Linked DNA regions of Mus musculus. The protein of the gene in region 1 purifies or fractionates together with the protein of each later gene. This does not show direct contact. Links are inferred from orthologs where the notes say so. Each region holds a gene or a part of one and is shown in the gene's direction. Other genes may lie near its edges.

What was found.
Region 2: the proteins of Chd8 (region 1) and Kpna1 purify together in Homo sapiens (affinity purification with mass spectrometry; 6 studies listed by BioGRID and IntAct, with this or other methods). This does not show direct contact. The link is inferred for Mus musculus from reciprocal best matches to the Homo sapiens genes CHD8 and KPNA1.
Region 3: the proteins of Chd8 (region 1) and Kpna6 purify together in Homo sapiens (affinity purification with mass spectrometry; 4 studies listed by BioGRID and IntAct, with this or other methods). This does not show direct contact. The link is inferred for Mus musculus from reciprocal best matches to the Homo sapiens genes CHD8 and KPNA6.
Region 4: the proteins of Chd8 (region 1) and Kpna2 purify together in Homo sapiens (affinity purification with mass spectrometry; 4 studies listed by BioGRID and IntAct, with this or other methods). This does not show direct contact. The link is inferred for Mus musculus from reciprocal best matches to the Homo sapiens genes CHD8 and KPNA2.

Annotation. Positions count from the first base shown.
Region 1 is NC_000080.6:52,254,231-52,260,097, reverse strand, and holds the start of Chd8 (chromodomain-helicase-DNA-binding protein 8), read left to right. Parts: upstream 1-2,337; 5' UTR 2,338-2,420; intron 2,421-5,867. UniProt on the Homo sapiens protein: ATP-dependent chromatin-remodeling factor, it slides nucleosomes along DNA; nucleosome sliding requires ATP. Acts as a transcription repressor by remodeling chromatin structure and recruiting histone H1 to target genes.
Region 2 is NC_000082.6:36,031,194-36,036,532, forward strand, and holds the end of Kpna1 (importin subunit alpha-5), read left to right. Parts: coding exon 1-104; intron 105-2,058; coding exon 2,059-2,237; intron 2,238-2,527; coding exon 2,528-2,715; 3' UTR 2,716-4,969; downstream 4,970-5,339. UniProt on the Homo sapiens protein: Functions in nuclear protein import as an adapter protein for nuclear receptor KPNB1. Binds specifically and directly to substrates containing either a simple or bipartite NLS motif.
Region 3 is NC_000070.6:129,651,500-129,656,838, reverse strand, and holds part of Kpna6 (importin subunit alpha-7), read left to right. Parts: intron 1-436; coding exon 437-531; intron 532-1,277; coding exon 1,278-1,409; intron 1,410-1,885; coding exon 1,886-1,974; intron 1,975-2,451; coding exon 2,452-2,551; intron 2,552-2,833; coding exon 2,834-2,997; intron 2,998-3,322; coding exon 3,323-3,401; intron 3,402-5,125; coding exon 5,126-5,251; intron 5,252-5,339. UniProt on the Homo sapiens protein: Functions in nuclear protein import as an adapter protein for nuclear receptor KPNB1. Binds specifically and directly to substrates containing either a simple or bipartite NLS motif.
Region 4 is NC_000077.6:106,988,474-106,993,812, reverse strand, and holds the end of Kpna2 (importin subunit alpha-1), read left to right. Parts: intron 1-1,121; coding exon 1,122-1,210; intron 1,211-1,686; coding exon 1,687-1,955; intron 1,956-2,305; coding exon 2,306-2,400; intron 2,401-2,480; coding exon 2,481-2,744; intron 2,745-2,940; coding exon 2,941-3,174; intron 3,175-3,441; coding exon 3,442-3,624; intron 3,625-4,339; coding exon 4,340-4,489; intron 4,490-4,833; coding exon 4,834-4,926; 3' UTR 4,927-5,184; downstream 5,185-5,339.

The DNA of each region.
Region 1 (5,867 bases):
AGGACCAGAGTTCAGTTCCTTGCCACACATGTCCACTGTAATTCCAGTCCCAAGGGAAACCCACATCTCTGCTCTCTGGCCCAACCAGTGCTCATGCACATACATATACACAAAATTAAAAATATAATAGAAAAACTGTTTTCTTTGTGTACTCCTGGCTGTCCTGGAACTAGTTCTGTAGATCAGAGCTCAGAGATCGGCCTGCATCTGCCTCCCAAATCCTAGGATTAAAGGCGTGCCCTGCAATAAATCTCTCTCTCTCTTTTTTTTTTTTTTCTTTTTTGGTTTTTTAAGACAGGGTTTCTCCGTATAGCCCTGGCTGTCCTGGAACTCACTTTGTAGACCAGGCTGGCCTCGAACTCAGAAATCTGCCTGCCTCTGTCTCACGAGTGCTGGAATTAAAGGCGTGCGGCCACCACGCCCGGCTAATAAATCTCACTCACACACATTAAAATCTAAAAAATATATCTTTAAAAACAACAATGGGCTGGAGAGATGGCTCAGTGGTTAAGAGCACTGACTGCTCTTCCAAAGGTCCTGAGTTCAAATCCCAGCAACCACATGGTGGTTCACAACCATCTGTAATGAGATCTGATGCCCTCTTCTGGGGTGCCTGAAGACAGCTACAGTGTACTTACATATAATAAATAAATAAATCTTAAAAATAAGAAAAAGAAAATCTATGGGCAAACTGAGGCACATGAGTCAGAACCCTGGGCCTGATGTTCAGGGACCCTCTACTTTCATGTTAGCCCCAGGAGTCAGCGGGTCTCCCTATACCTCAGTTTCCCCAGAGGGAAGTAGCACAGCAAATATGGTTGTCTCTCCATCTATGATAGTCTAGTTCCAGGATCCCCCCAAACCACATGGATAACAAAATCTGTGGGCACCAAAGTCCCTCAGGAACAGAGATGTATATTTACAAACTACCTACACACGTTGTTCTCAACACTGCGATCATTTCTGATTCTACCTAAAACAGTGCGGGTGATGTGCAAATAGTTGACAAATTATATTGTTTAGGGAAAATGACAAGAGCAAAGTTTATAAAAATAAATAAATCTCTTTAAAAACAAATTTTGCAGGTTTTGCTGTGTTGCTCAAGCTTCCTTCAGGTTTGTTTGTTTGTTTGGGGGGGGGGGGTTGGTTCAAGACAGGGTTTCTCTGTGTAGCCCAGGCTGTCCTGGAACTCACTTTGTAGACCAGGCTGGCTTCGAAATCAGAAATCCGCCTGCCTCTGCTTCTCGAGAGCTGGGATTAAAAGCCTGCACCACCACGCCCGGCTTCCTCGAGTTTTCTAATACTGGTATTTAAACAAACAAACAACAACCAAAAAACCCTTCTTGTATGGAAATGTAGTCGGCAGAACTTTAGAAAATGCAGGAACACCTTTCTCAGTGTAGTTTGACCTATGGTGAAATTTTGCTTCTTTCCAGAATAAATGACTCCGTCAGTGTACCTCTGATAAGTCTTGTTTCCCAGTGTGTATTCGTGCGTAGTAATTGGAACTATTGGTAAATTTAAGGTCCTTTGCTTTTTAAGTGAAATTCCTCACTCCCGATATTACTAAATGACTCAGAATTTTGGGTTGCTAAAATCGGAACACTGGTCTAGGGCGTGGTAGCTCATGCCTCAAATACCATATCTCTGTGTTTAACGCCAGCCTGATATATTGAGACCCTGTCTCAAAAAAACAAACAAAACTCTAATACTGGAAAATCTGAAACGTGCATAGATAAGCAAGTAGAATGGCTATAAAACCCGTGTCGATTATGTGTTGATAATCCTGCTTGTCAAGGATCACCCTAGAAGTGGCATTCAGAAAAACTGATCGTTGGCTTCTTTGATAAACCAGCATCATTCCTACGTTTAAGAGGTGGTGGGGCTTGTTTCCAGTCTTGTTCAACGTTTTTCCAGAGTTCCTCCCCATGACTGACAGGCATCCTGAGTACATGAGAGGAGGGCATGTAGGGGCTGGACCAAAACGGACCAACAGAACTCCAAAAAGGCCTTCACATTCCTATACGTAATCGTGGGAGATCACCAAGCCAGTCGACCCAAGATGGCCTCCCGAGACAGGTAGCAGGTGCTGTCCGGGTTTGCAGCGCCCCCAGCGGCGGGGGTCAGAGGCCTGGCCTGCCAGCCCGCCGCCCGCTCCGATTTCCAAGCAGGCATATCTGCGGTTGCCTACGTACCCTTCCCAGCCTCAGGCCCTCCCAGCCTTCGGAGACTTCCTGGATGGCGCCCGGCTCCGGCCACGCCATTGGTAGATGGAGGGCGGTGGGCGGGCCCAGGCGCATGGAGGACTAGCAAGCTTGCTTGCGGCGAGGGCTGGCCGTGCTCCGCCGGAAGGCGCCTTGTTCTCCCGGACGGTGGGTTGCAACTCTTGCCCAGGGAAGGAAGCCGCAGGACTGGCTCAGGTAAGCCTGCGGCACGCGCGGCTCCACCAAGCCTCGTCGGAGCCTGGGCGGGTAGTGGGTGGGGTAACAACGTCCTCGCTTGCTCGCTCGCTCGCACCCATGCGGGTGCAGCGCCGAGCGGTGATCAGGTGCGGGATGCTCGGGGCTGAACCACTCTCCTTTGTGAGAGGCAGGCGCTGGGGACCGGACGGGCCGCGGGGCCGTGCTGGGACGGGCCGCGAGGGAGCTGCTAGGGCCAGCGTGGAGTTTTGGAGCTTGTCATGGCACTGCTGGGCGAGGCGCACATTCGAGACAGTTGCCTTTTTCTTCTTCCTCCTTTCCCAAGAAGAAAAACTCCCCTGCTCGGTTAGGTTACTCCATACGTTGGAGTCAGAAGTGCGAGGCCAGGGTTTTAGTTTGTTTTGGCTGGATTCTTTTTCCCTCTCCTCTCTTATCTTTAATGTTTTTAGTAAATGTGGGTAGGGAAGCCTGAGGTGAACGTGTTCGGATTTATTATGTTCCCAATTTCTGCGGGGCTGTTGCAAAGTAGAGGTGACGAGGAAACGAACAGCACAAGTCTTGTGTCTTCCTTGACAGGTCTGCAGAGCTCTTTGGTTTTCTGACACATTATGTAAACTCTTCACTAGAGGAGGACTGCCTCTTGGCGAATATTATTTAAAATTTGTTTTGGTTTTTTTGTGTCTTAATTTACCTGTTTCTAGTCGGCTTGCCATTGCTGCAGCTGTGCATACGCAGCAGCGCCTCTTTAAGGGGCAGTCCTGACGTCGTTAAAGGCTTCCCAGAGGAGGTATGTAGTGAACCAGTCTTCGCAGTGAGTGAGCAAAGTGAGCCAGAAGTCGGATTTTAAACGCTACGTAATTTTCTTTCAAAAGATAGACACAGTGAGACATCTCAGACACGAGTGAGGACCTTGCTTTAGCGATTTTGCTGCATTCTGCCATCACATCGATGTCCACAGAATCTCTGTTCTGAGTTTGTTAACTCAGAGACTGGCTTAGTGCCAACTGAGGTCGTTTTGGGGGGGCACATCAGATTCTAGGACATGGATTTGCAATTTGAATGTTTCCCTTATGTTGTTGCTGTTGTTTCTTTTGAAAGGATATCTGGCTTTCCATTTGTAGACCAGGTTGGCCTCTAACTCACTGAGATCTTCCTGCCTCTGCCTGGATTAAAGGCGTGCACCTCTGGCCCCTGCTGGGATATTGTCTTTTTGATTACAGAGTGTCTTCTGCCTAAAAATATCTTTTTATGGTCACCCTGCAGGTTCCACAAGTTGTAATCAATTTCTTAGGGCAGGAAGTGGGCAACTTCTTCTTCTTTTTTTTTTTTTTTTTTTTTTTGTTAACTTGTTTTTCCTTGGGTGTCATATCTTTTAGTAATGCTGGCCATTTGGGGCTGGGGGGGGGGGCTCTGAGATGAAGGATCCCACCACAACCCCTGATTATTTTACTTTGGTTTTTTGGAAACAGTCTCTCATAGTCCAGCTTGGCCTCCAACTCACTAATGACTTTGAAACCTTGGTCTTTATATCTCTACCTCCCAAGTTCTCAGATTATACAAATTCACTACTACCAAAATCTTGAAAATGGAAAACATTACTTGAACTGTCTTAGTTATTCCAGCTGTTAAGATAATAAAGGTTATGATAAGAAATACAGCAGAGTTCTACTTAAAAGCTGTTGCAAGTCAGAGTGGTATGACAAAGACTACCAGACAAGGCAAAGGATACTGGTCAGAGAGGAGAGAGACACACACACACAGAGACAGAAGAGACACCACCCGTCTGAACCCTCCCCACACCAAATAAAGGAGAAAGAGAAAAAGGCTCAACGAAGGCTTAAAGCTGTAATCTCAGAAGCGCAGGAATAAAGGATTTGGTGGAGGAATGCATAAATTAAGCTCTTGTCTTCCAAGTGTTTAATCTGTGTAGCTGGCTCTTTGATTTTTGTTTTTTCTTTCTTTTTTTTTTTTTTTTTTTTTTTGTTTTCCCCCAATTCTCAAACTGACCAGATCCTTTTAGAAGTAGATGGAGAATATAGCTGCTGAGCTGATTTTGTATTGCCAGAAGACATCCATGTAGTATTTCCTAGGACAACCTCTTCTGCAGTGCTTCCGGATGATGGGGCTTGATACCCACTGGGGACTGGGGCAGAGTTTTGTGTTAAAAATGACTTTTGTGTGAAGGAGCAGTTTCTGTTAGGTAAGAGAGGGTGGTGAGAGGATTCTTTAAGGGAAACTTTTATATATGTCACCTTTGAAAAGAGAATTTGCTTAAGCCATACTGTGACTGAGGGTTAATTTAAGGGTTTCTGTTACGGGATGAATAAGCTTTAATGCTTTTATCCGTGGAAGAACTACCGCATTCAGATGAATGTTAAATGGCTTTGTGAAATCATCCACAGCCCTGAAATATTTCTCTCTTCTGAGCTTAAATTCAGCCTAATACTTGGGGAAAAAACAAAAGACAAAATAAAAACCTTTGCCCTGAAGCCTTGGGCTCAGCAGTAGGAGTCACCATATATTCTGCTTGCTTGTCATCTTGACTCTGCTCTCAGCATTTCCCATGGCCTCTCCCAGTTCTTCTATGGCCGTTCTGGTGTTTACTATCTCTTTTCTTTGGCCTTTGACTCTCGAGTAGGTACGTGTTCATGTTTCCTATGTCACTCAGTTATGTTTTGTTCCTCCAGAGTGATTTCTGCAGCATTCCTGGTCTTCCTTTTAGGGTTTTGTCTACTTTTGTCTAGGACCTAAGTGACAGTTGTATTTTTATGTAACAGACAGCAGCTATTTTCTATTGCCTAAAAACTTTATCCAGCTATGTACTGTGCCTTATCCAACTATTTGCTGCATTCCAGATGTGGTCCTAGATAACCTCTTCCCCTTTAACTTTGCAGTTTGCTCTATGTGTAGCTATGCAATCAAATTTAGCTCTCTTTGTGTTTTCTTGGTCTACATTTTAAATTTTTCACTGCAAGAGGTGAGGGATATAACTTGGTAGAGTGATTGCTGAGCATATACATACAATGGGTTAAATTCCAATAATACCTAAAAAGCCCCCAAAACCTAAAAGTAAACTTCTTGTGTATTTGTCTTATGCAATATGTCTACCTCTGCATAGTTACAAATGTTTATAGTGTGACGGGGCAGTGGTGGTACATGCCTTTAATCCCAGTACTTGGGAGGCAAAGGCAGGCGCATTTCTGAGTTTGAGGTCAACCTGGTCTACAGAGTGAGTTCCAGGACAGCCCCGGGCTACACAGAGAAACCCTGTCTCGAAAACACCAAAAAAAAAAAAAAAAAAAAAAAAAAAAGAAAGAAAGAAAGGTAAATAAATAGTGTTTATAGTTTGAACTACAGAGCGGTCAGTACCTGAGGTTTCTTTTAAAGCTGTTCTGAGCAGTTCTGTAGGTAATTTTCTCTTAATTTTTTTTGATAATTTCATACTTG
Region 2 (5,339 bases), on another chromosome or scaffold:
CCAGCTCTTATTAGTATATTGCAAACAGCAGAGTTCCGGACAAGGAAGGAAGCTGCTTGGGCCATCACAAATGCAACTTCTGGAGGATCAGCTGAGCAGATCAAGTAAGTACTGTCCAGGTAGCATCTTGCAAATTAAAGGAAAACAAGTTTAACCTCTCCCCATCCCCAATATATAATCTAAAACCTTGACCACTAAGAAAGGAATTTCTTGACTGTGAATGTGAAAGGAATTTCTTGAATGTGAAGTCTGGCACTTTGGGAAATTATCATTGTTATAATTAAACTCAGAAGTGCATTTAGTCTTTAAGATATATTTTTACAATTCTAATTATTCATGTATGAGTGATGTGTGTGGGTATGTGTGTGCATGTAGTGGAAGTGTCTGGAAGACAAGACAAATTGAAGTTACAGGTGATTGTGAGCTACCTGGTATGGGTGATGGCGACTAAACTCAGGTCTTTCAGTAGCAAGTGCACTTAACTTCTGAGCCATCTATGCAGCCCTTACATTTAGCTTTTAATACTTGTTTTCTCTCTCTTTTCAGTTTTTTAAAAAGGTCTCTCTCTCTCCTATGTGTGTAAAAAAGACAACCCCCCCCCCCCCTGTGTGTGTGTGTGTGTGAACCTCCCTCATAATTGTAACATCCATGGGGACCAGAAGAGGGCCTTATACTTCCTAGTGCTGGAGTTACACGCACTTGTGAGCTACCTTATATATAATATAGGGTGTTGGAATTGAACGTGGGCCTTGTGGAAGAGTAGCAAACAGTCTTAGATGTGGAGCTGTCTCATCATACAGCCTTCCTCATCTATTTTCAGTTTTCATTTTGATTTATTTGTTTTGTTTTTTTCAAGACATAATTTTTGTGTGCGTCCCCGGCTTTCCTGAAACTTGCTCTGTAGACCAGGCTGTTCTGGAACTCAAGCCTGGGTCTCAATGTGTAATCACCATGCCCTACCAGATTTACTGTTGCTAATGCTACACCACTGCTATTAGGGTTTTACTTTTAGATTCTAGGTGTTCATTACTGGAGTATAAACAGTTAAATTGTGTATGAGCTTTATATCATGCCTTATATCATAGACTTTCTATACTTATTATCCAGGTGTGTTTTCATCAGTGCGTGTGCGTGTGTTTCCTAACCTGCATAGACAGTAATGGAAGACTTTACTTCCATTCTTCTATACTCCTTTTAAAATCCTCTTTAAAAATAATGCTTAGGTTTGCATATGCAATGTTTCAAATATGATGTTAGTTAGGTAAACACTTCTTGTTAAGGCTCTTTATCATATTTCCTCTATCCTTAGTTTATTGTGTTTTCTTTTTTAAATTAATAATCAATAATAGGTTTTGATTATTTTCTTAGTCTCCATATCATCAGAAGTGATTTTCATCTTTATCATGTAAGAGTATAATGTTATTTTATGTGTTCTCTCTTCCTTCTAGAGATCTATATATGTATTTTAAGTTTAAAGTAGTGTGGAAAGGATATAAAGATGAGTACTGAGTTTCACAGTGACATTTCGTTTATACAGGTTTCACCTACCTCAGTTATCTCTGTTTTCTCCATATACAACTTGAGAGATTAGGATGATGGGGATTTCGTGCATATCTGCCCTGGGTGTGATGTAGTAGTCTGTCTTATATTCATTATACTGTCTGCATCACGTTACTCCCTGCTGGAGTTGAAAGACATAGAGCTGTAGAGTCCTGCATCTGTTTTCTTCTTTAAGTTCACACAGCCTGTATTTGAGAAGTGTGCTTACGTGTAGAAATAATGACTACAATAACTCTTCAAACTTCTATGTACTGGTTGGGACTGAGGAAGATGGCCCCAACCAGTACATAGAAGTGGTATTTTTGGTATATAGGTAGAGGTTTCCCTCAATAACAGACTATAGTTGAGATATGTGAGCTAACTCTTTCCTCTCTAAAGGTCCATAGTTGACAGCTTATTTTTATTTCTACAGCAAGCTTGAAGATGCCTCACAGTTCAATAAAAATCACAAAATTAAATATTTTATATGACTAAATTGTCCTTTTTTTGTTGATTCAGGTACCTAGTAGAACTGGGTTGTATCAAGCCACTCTGTGATCTCCTCACTGTCATGGATGCAAAAATTGTACAGGTTGCCCTAAATGGCTTAGAAAACATCCTGAGGCTTGGAGAACAAGAAGCCAAACGAAACGGCTCAGGCATTAATCCTTACTGTGCTTTGATTGAGGAAGCATATGGTAAGAGTTTGGCTGAGAATGAGGGAAATGAACAATAATAATCATATGAAAACATGAACATGGGAGTAGTGGGTGACACAGAGACAACAGTAGTGAGACTTTGCTTCCTTGGGCCAGAAACTGCTTGCAATGTGCATTTAATTTAAGATGTTAATTTATAATATTGGGCTTTGGATGTAATGGCAATAATCATTTCTGATGCGTATGTATAGAGTCTTTACATCAATAAAGTAGAATTAAGAATGTAGTTACTGAGGTTTTCAAGAAAGATTCTTTATCCTTCATTTTAGGTCTGGATAAAATTGAGTTCTTACAGAGTCATGAAAACCAGGAGATCTATCAAAAGGCTTTTGATCTTATTGAGCATTACTTTGGGACCGAAGATGAGGACAGCAGCATCGCACCCCAGGTTGATCTTAGCCAGCAGCAGTACATCTTCCAGCAGTGTGAAGCTCCTATGGAAGGTTTCCAGCTTTGAAGCAATCCTCTCCTTCTTGTTCCTGTGTCAGACCAGGCTATCCAGTCAAGTCCTCTTGTGGAGCCCACAGTCCTCATGGAGCTAATCTCTCAAATGTTTTCCATAATACTGTTTGCGCTCATTTGCTTGCCTTGCGCACCTGCTCTCTTACACACATCTGGAAAACCTCTGGCTCTCTGTGGTGGAATACCCTTTTATTACAAGGGTAACCAGAACGGCCCACTCTCTTATGGAAAAATCCCTAAGCTTTGGAGATCCGCACTTACATTAGAGTCATGGGAATATATACACATACTAATGTGGCTCCCTTTTTTGTGGGGGAAAAAAGAGGACTCTTCCTCATTCCGTAAAGTGGGGAAAATGACATTGAAAGATAAAACTAAAACCTTTATCTTGAATTTTACACAACTACAAGGGAGATATTTAGACTTGTGTATACATCAGAGTACTCTTCTCGAGTTCTTCCACAGTGAATCAACCCTTGGAGTACCTGGTGGCTTTTTCTAGCCACATTTGCATTAATCCTTATTGAGATGGGATGGTTTTCTTTCCTCTAATGGAGTCATTTTCTTCAGATATTAAAGTTAAACCATCCAATCCCTCACCTTCAGCCTTCAGTGAATGTGCTTCTAGTTGTCAGGAATGCTGAAGAATTAACACTTTGACTTTTAAATGTGATCCTGGCTTGGCAGATTTCCTTAAAGCAGGAAGGAGAGAAGCATATATTAGTTTGTATGGCTTTTGCTTCTCTTTGTTTTTGTTTCTTAGGATTTGGAAGTGGTTCAGTTTTAACGCTGGTATGAAGGCTAAAAGTCCTTAAGTAAAACCATGTTCAAAAATCCAATTAAAGACTAAGAACATAAAACCCATCACTTTGTTTAAACCGGTGTGACGAGAGGCTGTGTTTCTGCATTACAAATGATCCTCAGGCTTTGTGGTCCTGACCAAGGGCCTGGTAAATTGGAGTCACCCTAGGTGCTTTTCCTCTTCGTGACTGGCAGATAACACATATTTAAATGTTACTTAGGGATTTTTTTTTCCTTTGTTGAGTGCAGCTCGATTCTAATGTAATCATGCTGCATACATGCTTTTGCTGTGCAGCATCCTTATCTTTAAAAGCATACTAGTCTCCTCAGTGTGACCTCTAGACTAAAAGGGCAGTGATCCAATAACCTCAGTATCCCCTGTTTTTATTTCATCTCCTACTAGTACCCTACCTCCCCTAGGAAGAACATGCCCACCTCCTGCTTATTTAATGATGACTGTAATGTACCTGCAAATGGCGCTTCCAGTACTGTGTTCACTGACATTTGTGCTTGGACTAGAAGGGGAAAGAAACAAGAAAAAAAGGATAATTGCCAAGAGAACTGCAAATGAGTTCAATGTGACTTCTCGGTGCTAGTTGGCCATCTTGGCTCAATGTTGGGACACACTATCAGAGAGAGGAGTCTTTTTTTTTTTCCCCAATGATATTCTGTTCAAAATGAATTCTGAAGGAAAAGTTGCTCATGTCTGTTTCAGAGCATACCCTTTTAAATCTTTTTAGACTACTCTTCTAGAATTCATCATAACCCCAAAATAGATAAAAGCTATCTAGAAGTTGCCCTGACAAGCTATTGCACATCTCTGGTAAATCCTGCTGAATGTAAGGAATATTCAGAGCTCTCATACCTCATCATGATGTTATTTAAGCAGCCAATTTACACGACCTGATTTACTTTGAAAAATTTGTTTCATTCAAACTAGAAAGTTCCAGAGACAAAGGACATTTCTCAGCCAAGAGTGTGATGCATTCTTGCCCTAGTCTTTACTTGTGTCTGCTCTGGGATGGATGCTGTCTGATGTCTGTTACCAATGGAGCAGATACCACAAAACTAGTCAACTCCCGTCTGTCCTGTTGTTTTCTAGTGCTGCTTTGTGCTGAGAGAACATGTTAGTTTACTGAACTTGACCTGTACAAGACTGATTCTTTGTAATTTTAGGGTTAAATTAGGTGGTTAATTTAAAGATGAACTTTCAATGTTGCCTTTACATCACATTACAGTATCACTTCTTTGAGAAGGTAATAGAAGCACTGATTCATAGTAAAAATCTTGTTTTTAGCTTTGACTTTTCTTGTGGCTGATTTCTTTTTAAATTGTAAATTACTGGTAACATGTTATTTCTATAGAATGTTTTAAATTATGTACCTTCTATTGGATAGTTAAAACCTTTGCATCTTATAAAGGAGTTTGAATGAAAAGAAATAGAAAGCACACAGAGTTGTCACCTCACCTTACCAAGAGCATACAGCTGGAACTTTTGTAGCAATATCAGGGTGGCCCAATGAGTTCAGGTCCATTAATCAGTGTGAGCTCTTTTATCTTAAGCCTGACCAGAAGTTCATGAACTTTAAATATTCTGAACTTTGTTTTTATAGTAAAATGATTGTTTCAGTGTAAACATGGCATTCAGCTAAACCCTGGCAAGTTCAGATGTTCTGGAACTGAGTACTTACAAAGAAGACTTTTGTTTCTTAACGCAAGTGGAATCTTAGGGGTTACTTGTAAATCCTATTTTTAGTCTTTCACCTGGCAAAGTCTATTAATTTAATCTTTTGAAGATTTTTATCAGAAAGGTGTTAC
Region 3 (5,339 bases), on another chromosome or scaffold:
GAATTCACAGAGATCCGCCTGCCTCTGCCTCCCAAGCACTGGGATTATAGGTGTGCTCCACCACTGCCTAGCAGGTCTTTGTTAGAAGGCAAATGTATAGGCTAAGGTTGCTCATTCCTTGGTGCGAGCTCGGGTTCTCTCTCTCTCTCTCTCTCTCTCTCTCTCGGGTTCTCTCTCTCTGTCTCTCTCTCTCTCTGTCTCTCTCTCTGTGTCTCTGTCTCTCTCCTTTTCTGACGTGCTTACATACAGGAAGCCAGAGGTGAGCATACCTAGACTAGGTTGCCTTTGTATTTGTAACATGCCAACGGTATTCTAAGCTGTAGATGAGCAAAGGACTACTTTGGAAAGTCTACAAAATTGGTCAGAGCATCTCGGGTTGTGAATGGGTCAGTCCAAGCTTCTCCTGACTTTTTCTGCCTTTCCTGTCTTCCTCTAGAGCCGAGTCCTCCAATAGATGAAGTTATTAACACTCCAGGAGTAGTTGATCGGTTTGTGGAGTTTCTGAAGAGAAATGAGAATTGTACATTGCAGGTAATGGCTCTAAGGTGGAATGGCCAGATGAGAGTTCCTCACATGACAGTGGACTGTCTTTGTGGCATCCCTTTAGGAAATGGGAAAGTAATATCGGGAAATTACCTTCCTTAAAAATAGCTTCAGGGCTGGGTGTGGTAGTACAGCCTGTGCTACTAGCAAAGTGAACAAACCTTCAGGTTTGAGGCCAGCCTGTTCTCCACAGTGAGTGTCTTTTTAAATGAGACACACACACGAGTTGGGGCGGGGGGGGGGGGGCACTCATCAGATTAAGGTTCCCATTGGGCCTGACAGTGTGACCCAGGACTCATGCATGATAGAATGATTGAACTGACTCCTGCAGTCTGCAGGTTGTCCTCTGACCTCCACAAGCATGGTATGGCACATAGATGAACATACAGACACAAAAAATAAAGAAAAGGGTTTTGGATAGCAATAATTATGTGAACCTAGCTGAGTTTCCACAGTATATATATACAAAGGGGGAGCGGGGAAGCTTTAAGCCACACTAATACTTTTAGCCAGCATATATTAATACTTTCAGCATGCAGTAGGCTGGGACATGAGGACTGCCACAGGGTTGATACCAGCGGCATGCAAGTCCCCTCTCTGCTAAAGGATGGTGGGGAAAGACGAGTTTGGTTTGGGCTTCTGTTGCTACTAGAGATTGGCTGTTGTGAGGCAGGTGGGTAGGTAGGGCTGCTCAGTCTGCAGACCTCTCAGTTGTGTTGTGATCTCCCTTTCAGTTTGAAGCTGCCTGGGCTCTAACAAACATTGCCTCTGGAACGTCTCAGCAGACCAAAATTGTCATTGAAGCAGGAGCTGTCCCCATTTTTATAGAGTTACTTAACTCAGACTTTGAAGATGTACAAGAACAGGTAACACTCAAAATTTGGTCAATGTTTTGGCCGTACTTACAGTATAGTAAAAAATAAATATTGATGCATATTTGGAGAACTATGGAGAATTGAACAAGGCTTGCTGCTCCTCGTATGAAAATGGGTTAGCCTGTGGTACTCACACAGAAATGGAAAGCAGTGATGGAGTCTCTCTTTACCTCGTGTGGGTCTGGGCCAAGGTAGAGAGTCAAGACTTTTTCTTTCTCCCTTCCTATGAAGGGATGATGAAGTCTGTAGTTTGGTGTCTCTGGCTTCAGTTCGTGTGGCCGCCTGCCTTTCCCACTGAACAGGGCTTCCGGGGAGAAGCTCTAAAAGAGCAAGTGCTCAGCAAGAGTCCTCCTAGACACAGTCTAGGTGGCTCACTCCAGTGTGCTGTCCTCACCCTGTCGGACCGCTTTGTAAGTAGTCACGGAAGCTGCCAGGCTCTGGGTGACAGTTGTCTGCTCCCTTTTCAGGCAGTGTGGGCGCTTGGAAACATCGCTGGAGATAGCTCGCTTTGCAGGGATTATGTCTTGAATTGCTCCATCCTTAACCCCTTGTTAACGTGAGTAATCCCGGGGCTCTGCAGCGTGGCCACGTGGCAGTGTATGTGGGGGATAATAAAACCTTGGATGGTGGCACAAACCTTTCGTCCCAGCATTCGGGAGGCAGAGGCAGGCAGATTTCTGAGTTCGATGCCACCTTGATCTACAGAATGAGTTCCAGGAGGGCCATAGTTAGACAGAGAAAAGCCTGTCACAAGACAAAAACAAGTAATGAGGCCCAGCATAGTGGCACGGGCCTTTTGTTTTGTTTTGTTTTTCCGAGGCGTGCGCCACCACACCCGGTGGCCCGGACCTTTTAATCCTAGCCCTTGGGAGGCCAGCCCAGTCTACGTTAGCAAGTTTCAGACTATCCAGGACTGAACAACCTCCCATTTTCACGAACAAGATAGTCCTAGGGCCTGGGTTATACTCTAGGGTCTGTGGTCACAGCCCTGTGCTGGAGGTCAGTGCTAAGATTATGGCTTCCTTGTTTACAGACTCCTTACTAAGTCCACACGACTGACAATGACACGGAATGCAGTCTGGGCCCTGTCAAACCTCTGCCGAGGCAAGAACCCTCCTCCAGAGTTTGCAAAGGTGAGAACTACCTACTAGCTACAAGTGATGCCAGATTCCGTCATAGGATCTCTTTGTAAGTTTTGGGAAGACCCATTAGAGTCTCAAATCATGTGAAAGACAAGGCAATCATCAGTGTAGAGGGCGATTTTGTGTGCCAGGGTAGGAGAGTGAAAAGGTGGTCCTGCAGGTTTGATGGCATTCCCAGGGTGTAGAATTCCGTGTTGGGAAGGGGTAAGCCATGATAGGCTTGGTGAGAGAGCTGATGTAGCCCTATGATCAGTCCTCCTCTGCTTCCAACAGGTCTCTCCTTGTTTGCCTGTATTGTCCCGACTGCTCTTCAGCAGTGACTCAGACTTGCTGGCAGATGCTTGCTGGGCCCTCTCCTACCTGTCTGATGGCCCCAATGAGAAGATCCAGGCAGTCATAGACTCTGGAGTCTGCCGGAGATTGGTAGAGCTTCTGATGTGAGTGGTTTGAGTTCAAGAGGGTGAAAGTTTCCTTAGCTTTACCAAGTTCAAAGACCTCTAGCCAAAGGCATGGTGGTGTGGCTGTAATCCCAGCCTTTGGGAGACAGGAGAATGACAAATTCAAGGACAGGGTGGGCTGCAGTATAAAGACTGTCTCACAAAACAAAGCAAAAAAACAAAAAATCTACAAACAGCAGATAGCTGACCTACAAAGGTCTGGAGCTGCAAGGAATATGGGCAGAAGAACCTGTGTTGGTTTTCGGCAGTCGGCAGGACCGACTGATGCGCTGTCTCTCCACTGATAGCTGCTCTTCCTCTGTAGGCACAACGATTACAAAGTGGCGTCTCCTGCCTTGAGAGCTGTGGGTAATATTGTCACTGGGGATGACATCCAGACCCAGGTGAGGAAGAAGAGGGGTGGGACCTTAGCTTAGGTCAGCTGTGGGAGAACAGAGAGAGCGCTGTAGACCAAAGTCTTCCTGGGTAACTGCATGGTCTAGCAGAGAAAGTGTGACTTTAAATTAAGTGGTTGTAGCACTGGCAGTCTCTGTATTCTCATAGTTCCTTCTTCTCTTAAGCAAATTAGAAACAAATCATCCCGCTGCTGCTTGAGCAAAGAAAGCGAAATGGAATGACTGGGTTTGTTTGCTGCAACAGTGTTGTGAGGAATGAAGTCTGGTCCATGATCCTTTTGAGACACTAAAAGCTGTGGGGTCACCAATGCTTCTAGGCCTTCACCTCATGCTAAACTCACGTTAGCCTTTTCAGCCGTGTGGCACACACTGTAATCCCAGCACTTGTGAGTTAGAGGCAGAAGGCTCAGCTAGTTCAGGGCCATAGTCGACTATATGAAACCCTATCTCAAAAACCCAAAAACGGGAAAAATATTTCCTACAAACCAGTAGCAGAGTGGGTGTGCATCTGCTGGGGAGGATGAGGTGGGGTGGAAGGAGCCCAGGGCTTGGAGACCAGCCTGCACAGTTCAACAAGGTCCTGTCTCAGAAGACCCTGCACACACGTGAACATGGAGATGGAAGATACAGTAGGAATGATCCCACAGGGAGGGCACCAGAAATTTCTCTTGTTCAAAAGTTAGAACTCTGCTGATTTCCTGTCTGACTTTGTCAGCCAATAGTCTCCATGAGTTAGTGTGTACTCCAGTCCCTCTTGTGGTTGATATGTAGTTTTATCCCACTGGACTACTGTAGACTTGTCCTTGTGAGTGGAGTTAAACCATATTAGTCCCTCGTAGCTGCCTTAGTTAGCATAATGTCTTCAAGCTTCATCTGTGACGTTCGTGTGTCAGAATTCTTATACTAAGATTGAAGGATATTCCAGTGTCTGTGTATACTATTTTTTAAATTCCTTCATCCATCTTGCAAACATTTATGTTTCTGCTGCTTAGCTATTGTGAATAATGCTGTTTTGGACCCTGGTTATGCAGCTACAAAGTCTCTGCTTTCATTTCTTTGGTCATGTATATGCAAAATAGATTAGATAACATGGTAATTTATGCTAATTTATAAGTTTAGTTTCTGTGTTATTTTATGTCTCTATCAGCTCTGTTCCATGTTCCAGTTTCTCCCTCTTTCTAAGACATCTCATTTTCTGTTTTTATATCAGCCATTCTAGTGAGTGTAAAGTGCTGTCTCCTGGTTTGATTTTTGTTTCTCTATTTATTTGATAAGTGATCTTGAGCCTATTATGTGTGCTAATACATAATCGCTGTATCTCTTTTAAGTTCTTTTTTTAAAAAGTTATTTACATACTCTGGATAATAACCTTTTTTTTAAAGGGCTATTTATTTATTTATTTATTTATTTATTTATTTCATGTAGAAACACCAAAAGAGGGCATTGGATCCCATTATAGGTGGCTGTGAGCCACCATGTAGTTGCTGGGAATTGAACTCAGGACCTTAGGAAGAGCAATCTGCCCTTAACTGCTGAGCCATCTCTCTAGCCCTGGATTTTAACTCTTAATAATACATGTTTTGCAAGTATTTTCTAATATTCTGCAGGTTTGCTTTGCACTGTTTATGGTGTCTTGATATGCATATCTAATTTTAAATGGGTTAACACTAAATATCTAATTTTGATAAATTTCTTATGCTTTTGTGTTTTAGGTCATTCTTAATTGTTCAGCCCTCCCTTGCCTCCTCCACCTACTGAGCAGCTCTAAGGAATCAATCCGGAAGGAAGCTTGCTGGACCATTTCAAACATCACTGCTGGCAACAGGGCTCAAATACAGGTAGATTTGCTTCCAAAAAAGGCATCTTTTCCCATTAGAAACTAGGGGCAAGGCAAAGGGCAAGCAAGCTGCGTAGCTCAGTAGTAGG
Region 4 (5,339 bases), on another chromosome or scaffold:
TGAACTCTGGACCTTCGGAAGAGCAGTCGGGTGCTCTAACCCACTGAGCCATCTCACCAGCCCTGTTTGTTTTTTTCTTTCCCCTTCTCATGGTCTATTGCCAAAGTGTAGGGTGTCTTCAGCAATGGCGTCTTAGCTTAAAGTTCTGATGGGCAACCAAGAGCGATGGCAGTAGTTTATGTTGTTTCAAGGGCTGCAAGCCTCTCTTCTGTAGTGATTACAACATAATCATCTACCACGGAAATTTATAGATTTTAAATACAAACTCAAGAAATTAGGCTCCATGTGGTGGCACACACATGCTTTTAATTCTAGCACTCTGGGGATAGAGATAAGTAGATCTGAGTTCTAGGCTAGCCTGGTCTACATAAAATGAGCTCCAGGATACCCAGGGCTACATTGAGATCCTGTGTCAAAAATTAAAAACAAACAAAAACCCCAGACATCTGTAGCTGCATATATCTTTCTTTGTTAAAAGTATATTTGAGTTCAAGGGATTGCAACTAAGAATAGCATTTAGTTTGCCTTAAACCATTCTTAAAATAGTTCACTGCTACTCCTTCTAATGACAAAAGCTTAAGTGTTCTGACTTGAGAATCCAATGTCATGGGACCAAGTTTGAGAACTATTATTGTACATATAAAGCAGGATTTAGTAGTCCAAATTAAATGTAAAGCTAACCTTCAGATGAGAGCCTAAGTATCCTTACAATGCCATGTGTGCTAGTGTGCTTCCTATGACTGTGAAAACAGTGTAGTGGCAGGAAAAGGGTTATTTGGCTTATACCTCAGGTCAGACAACTCATTAATGAGGGAAATCAGAAACCCTGAGGTAGTGGGCAAGGTGTAGCTACTTACTGACTGGCTTTTTGCCTGGACTAGCTTTCCTATACAACCTAGACCCACCTGCCTGGGGATGGTGCTGCCCACATTAAGCTGGACTCTCCCATATCATGAAGGTAATTTCAGACATGAGCAAAGGTTAATCTGACCAAAATAATTCTGTATGTTGATTGTATCTCGATGTCTAGGTTGTATCAAGTTGACAACTAAACAGCACAGTACTATAAAGTATATATATTTGTATATAATAATAATTGTAAAATACTGCATTTTTTTAAGGGTACTGTAAATTGGTCTGTTGAGGACATTGTTAAAGGCATAAACAGTAACAATTTGGAAAGCCAGCTCCAAGCTACTCAAGCTGCTCGGTGAGTCTGTAGCTCTGGCATGGATAACCTAAGAAATCAGCCCTTTGAGAGGGAGGGAGGGAGGGAGGGAGGGAGGGAGGGAGGGAGGTGCAGTGGAGAATCATGAATTTTTACTTTATCTTAAAATTTTGTGTGTGTGTGTGTGTGTGTGTGTGTGTGTGAGAGAGAGAGAGAGAGAGAGAGAATGAATCAGGAAAACTTGTCTCCACCATGTGCATTCTGGGGATTGAACTCAGTTGTCAGCTTGGTGGCAAGCTCTTTACCTACTACTAAACTATCTCACCATCTCCTTTCCCCTTTAAACAACATCCCATGTTGCCTAGGCTGACTTTAAGTGCACAGTCTCCTTTTGTCTCAGCCTTGTCCGTGTTGAGATTGTACGTGTATTAACCACTGTGATGGCCAGATTTTTATCCACCTTTTCAGTGCACTTTGAAAAATCAACTTCAACTTTTGATTTTTTTCTTTTCCCTTAGGAAATTGCTTTCTAGAGAGAAACAGCCTCCTATAGACAACATCATCCGGGCTGGTTTGATCCCAAAATTTGTGTCCTTCTTGGGCAAAACTGATTGTAGTCCTATTCAGTTTGAGTCTGCTTGGGCACTCACCAACATTGCTTCTGGAACATCTGAACAGACCAAAGCTGTGGTGGATGGAGGTGCTATCCCAGCGTTTATTTCTCTCTTGGCATCTCCTCATGCTCACATCAGCGAGCAAGCTGTTTGGGCTCTTGGAAACATTGCAGGTACTTGCACTTATAATTCTTTGGACTGAATGTGTCCAATGTGATTAAAGAAGGTCCTAGTGGCTTTTGTGTCAAGCTTTGTGCTTGCTTTAGGCCCTTATTAGGAATGGAAGAGGCATTTAAGAATGCTACTGAAGTTAGGACAGGTCTGACAGACAGTGCATTCAGTAGCTAACTAAACATGGATGTTTGGGACAGTAGGTTCATTAATCTTGCTTTTTTATTTTTTGAGACAGGGTCTCTCTTACGTAGCGCTGGCTATAGACCAGGATAACGTGGATTTCACAGAAATAGATTTTGGGGTTAAGGTGTTCACTGCCGTGCTCAGCCAATCTCGCTTTCTGTCCCAGGTGATGGTTCAGCTTTCCGAGACTTAGTTATCAAACACGGTGCGATTGACCCACTGTTGGCACTTCTTGCAGTTCCCGATCTGTCTACCTTGGCAGTAAGTTGATAATATTTGACTCTTATTTTCCCCATCTATTCAAAGACAAGCCTTCTCAATAATTTTTCTCTCCCCCTCAGTGTGGTTACTTACGTAATCTTACCTGGACACTTTCAAACCTTTGTCGAAACAAGAACCCTGCACCTCCCTTAGACGCCGTTGAGCAGATTCTTCCTACGTTAGTTCGACTCCTGCACCACAATGATCCAGAAGTATTGGCAGATTCCTGCTGGGCCATTTCCTACCTGACTGATGGTCCAAATGAGCGCATTGAGATGGTTGTGAAGAAAGGAGTTGTTCCCCAACTTGTGAAGCTTCTAGGAGCTACTGAACTGCCCATTGTGGTAGGTGTTAGTTGGCCTTTTTATTAAATAGCTTTGTGAGTATGGAGTAAGGGAGCGCAGGAGTACGGGAGCGTCCTCAGTTGATAGCTGTTGAGATACTGCCTGTTATTTGCACAACTTTTTAGAATGGAGAATTTTTTTAGCAGCACTGGAAAGTAATTAATCAGTAATTAATCAACCTATTTTTCCTTTTTAGACTCCCGCACTAAGAGCCATAGGGAATATTGTCACTGGAACAGATGAGCAGACTCAGAAAGTGATCGATGCAGGAGCACTTGCAGTCTTTCCCAGCCTGCTAACAAACCCCAAAACTAATATTCAGAAGGAGGCCACATGGACAATGTCGAACATTACAGCTGGACGCCAGGACCAGATACAGCAAGTTGTGAATCACGGCCTAGTCCCCTTTCTTGTTGGTGTCCTCTCTAAGGTAATGAGAGTTTAGGTTTGACCAGATGATAGCATTTATGACAACCTATGCGTGATAAGTCTTAGAGGAACCTGGGCATGGTGGCACATGCTTTTAACTCCTGAGCTTGTGAGGGAGAGGCAGGAGGCCTGAGTTGGATACAGTACCTCCTAATATTGGGTAGAAGAGTAGGTAATTGGCTTGGTGTTTTTAGACCACTAACTTTTGGAGTCTGGCTGTTAGGACTTTTGGACTAAAACCATTTTCTTCTTCTTTCTTGTTTATCAGGCGGACTTTAAGACACAGAAGGAGGCCGCGTGGGCTATAACCAACTATACCAGCGGTGGGACTGTTGAGCAGATTGTGTATCTCGTTCACTGTGGGATAATAGAACCTTTGATGAACCTCCTGAGTGCAAAAGATACCAAGATTATTCAGGTTATTCTTGACGCCATTTCAAATATCTTTCAGGTAAGTCCTAACAAGGCTCTGTTTGCTTGAACTTAAGGCTGATAGTTACTATTTAGGACTGGGAAGAGGACAGCTAAGTTTGGTTTACTAATAGTCAGAATCAGGTTTGTTTGTGTACAGTCTCAGTTTTTAAATTTACTAATGAAGTCTTAGTCTGTCCCTGCACTTGGGAAGCAGAGGCAGGCTGAGCTCTTGAGATGGAGACCAGCTTGAGATACACAGAGAAACTCTGTATTGGTACCTCCCCCCATTCTTTTTATATCTATTCATTTTGTATGTATGGGTGGGAACTGGGGTTGTATATTGTTGTGAGTGACCATATGTATGCTGGGAATCAAACCCAGATCCTCTGTAAGAACAAGTGATCTTATCCAGTGAGCCACTATCCTGGCACCCTTTCTTTAAGAATATTTTTTTGTGCAGGAGGGGCTTAAAAAAAAGAATTTTTTTTTTTTTTTTGTGGCAGTGGTGGAGCAAGCCTTTAATTCCAGTACTCAGGAGGAAGATGCAGGCAGATCTCTTGAGTTTGAGATCAGCCTAGTCTACATGGCAAATTCCAGGACAGCCAGGGCTACATAAACTGTCTCAGAAATCAAAGCCAGACAAAAATAGATCAAAATAAATACACAAAACAACTAAAACACCTCTCATAGAAACTGGGATTTGTATCTCATAGAGGGTAGTAAACTTAAGTTGAGTTTTTTTTTTTTTTAAGGCTGCAGAGAAACTAGGTGAGACAGAAAAGCTCAGTATAATGATTGAAGAGTGTGGAGGCTTGGATAAAATTGAAGCACTACAGAGGCATGAAAACGAGTCTGTATACAAGGCCTCATTGAACTTAATTGAGAAGTACTTCTCAGTGGAGGTAAGTAATGGCCATGTCCACAACATGGAAAGGATATGAGAATTCACAAGTACCTTCAAGCCAATGGGCTTGATCCTTTGTATATGATTCTTACATTACCCTATCACAAAGAACAAGCATCAGTGCAGCCAAGATTTGCTGTGTGTGGGTGGGTGGGTGCGCGCACGTGTGGCTAGTACTGGCTTGATGGTATATGATGGTTATATGAACAGCCTGGAATTGTCCCAGCATTCATGAGTTAGCTAAGCTTTGGCAACAAGTTTTCTGCTAGGTGCAGGCTTTGAGACAGGGTTCTGCTAGAGATGTACCATGTTTATGGTTATATCTTACCTTACTATTTCCAGGAAGAGGAAGATCAAAATGTGGTGCCAGAAACTACCTCTGAAGGCTTCGCCTTCCAAGTTCAGGATGGAGCTCCTGGGACCTTTAACTTCTAATGTCCAGCTAAGGCACAAAGTTGTTAGCTATGTGCTGTGCTATTCTGTGTTCTCATAGATTTGTCTTACTGTTTCTCTACTAAGAACTCTTTTTAAATGTGGTTTGTTATTGTAGCACTTTTTACAAAAGAAACTATACTTGAACAGTTATAAACTGTACATACTCTATGAAGCTGTCCTCTGAATTTATTTCTATGTGGAATTTCGTACCCTGTCATGTCCTGTAAATAAAGATTAAAGTTCCATTCTTTACTCTGACTTGCTGTTTTCTTAATTGAGATTACTGTTGGAAGTGAAAGGTGAATAGGAGATGTTGATTGAAAGTGAGGCAGTGGTGGCAGAGGCAGGCAGATTTCTGAGTTCAAGGCTAGCCTGGTGTACAGAGTGAGTTCCAGGACAGCCAGGGCTACACA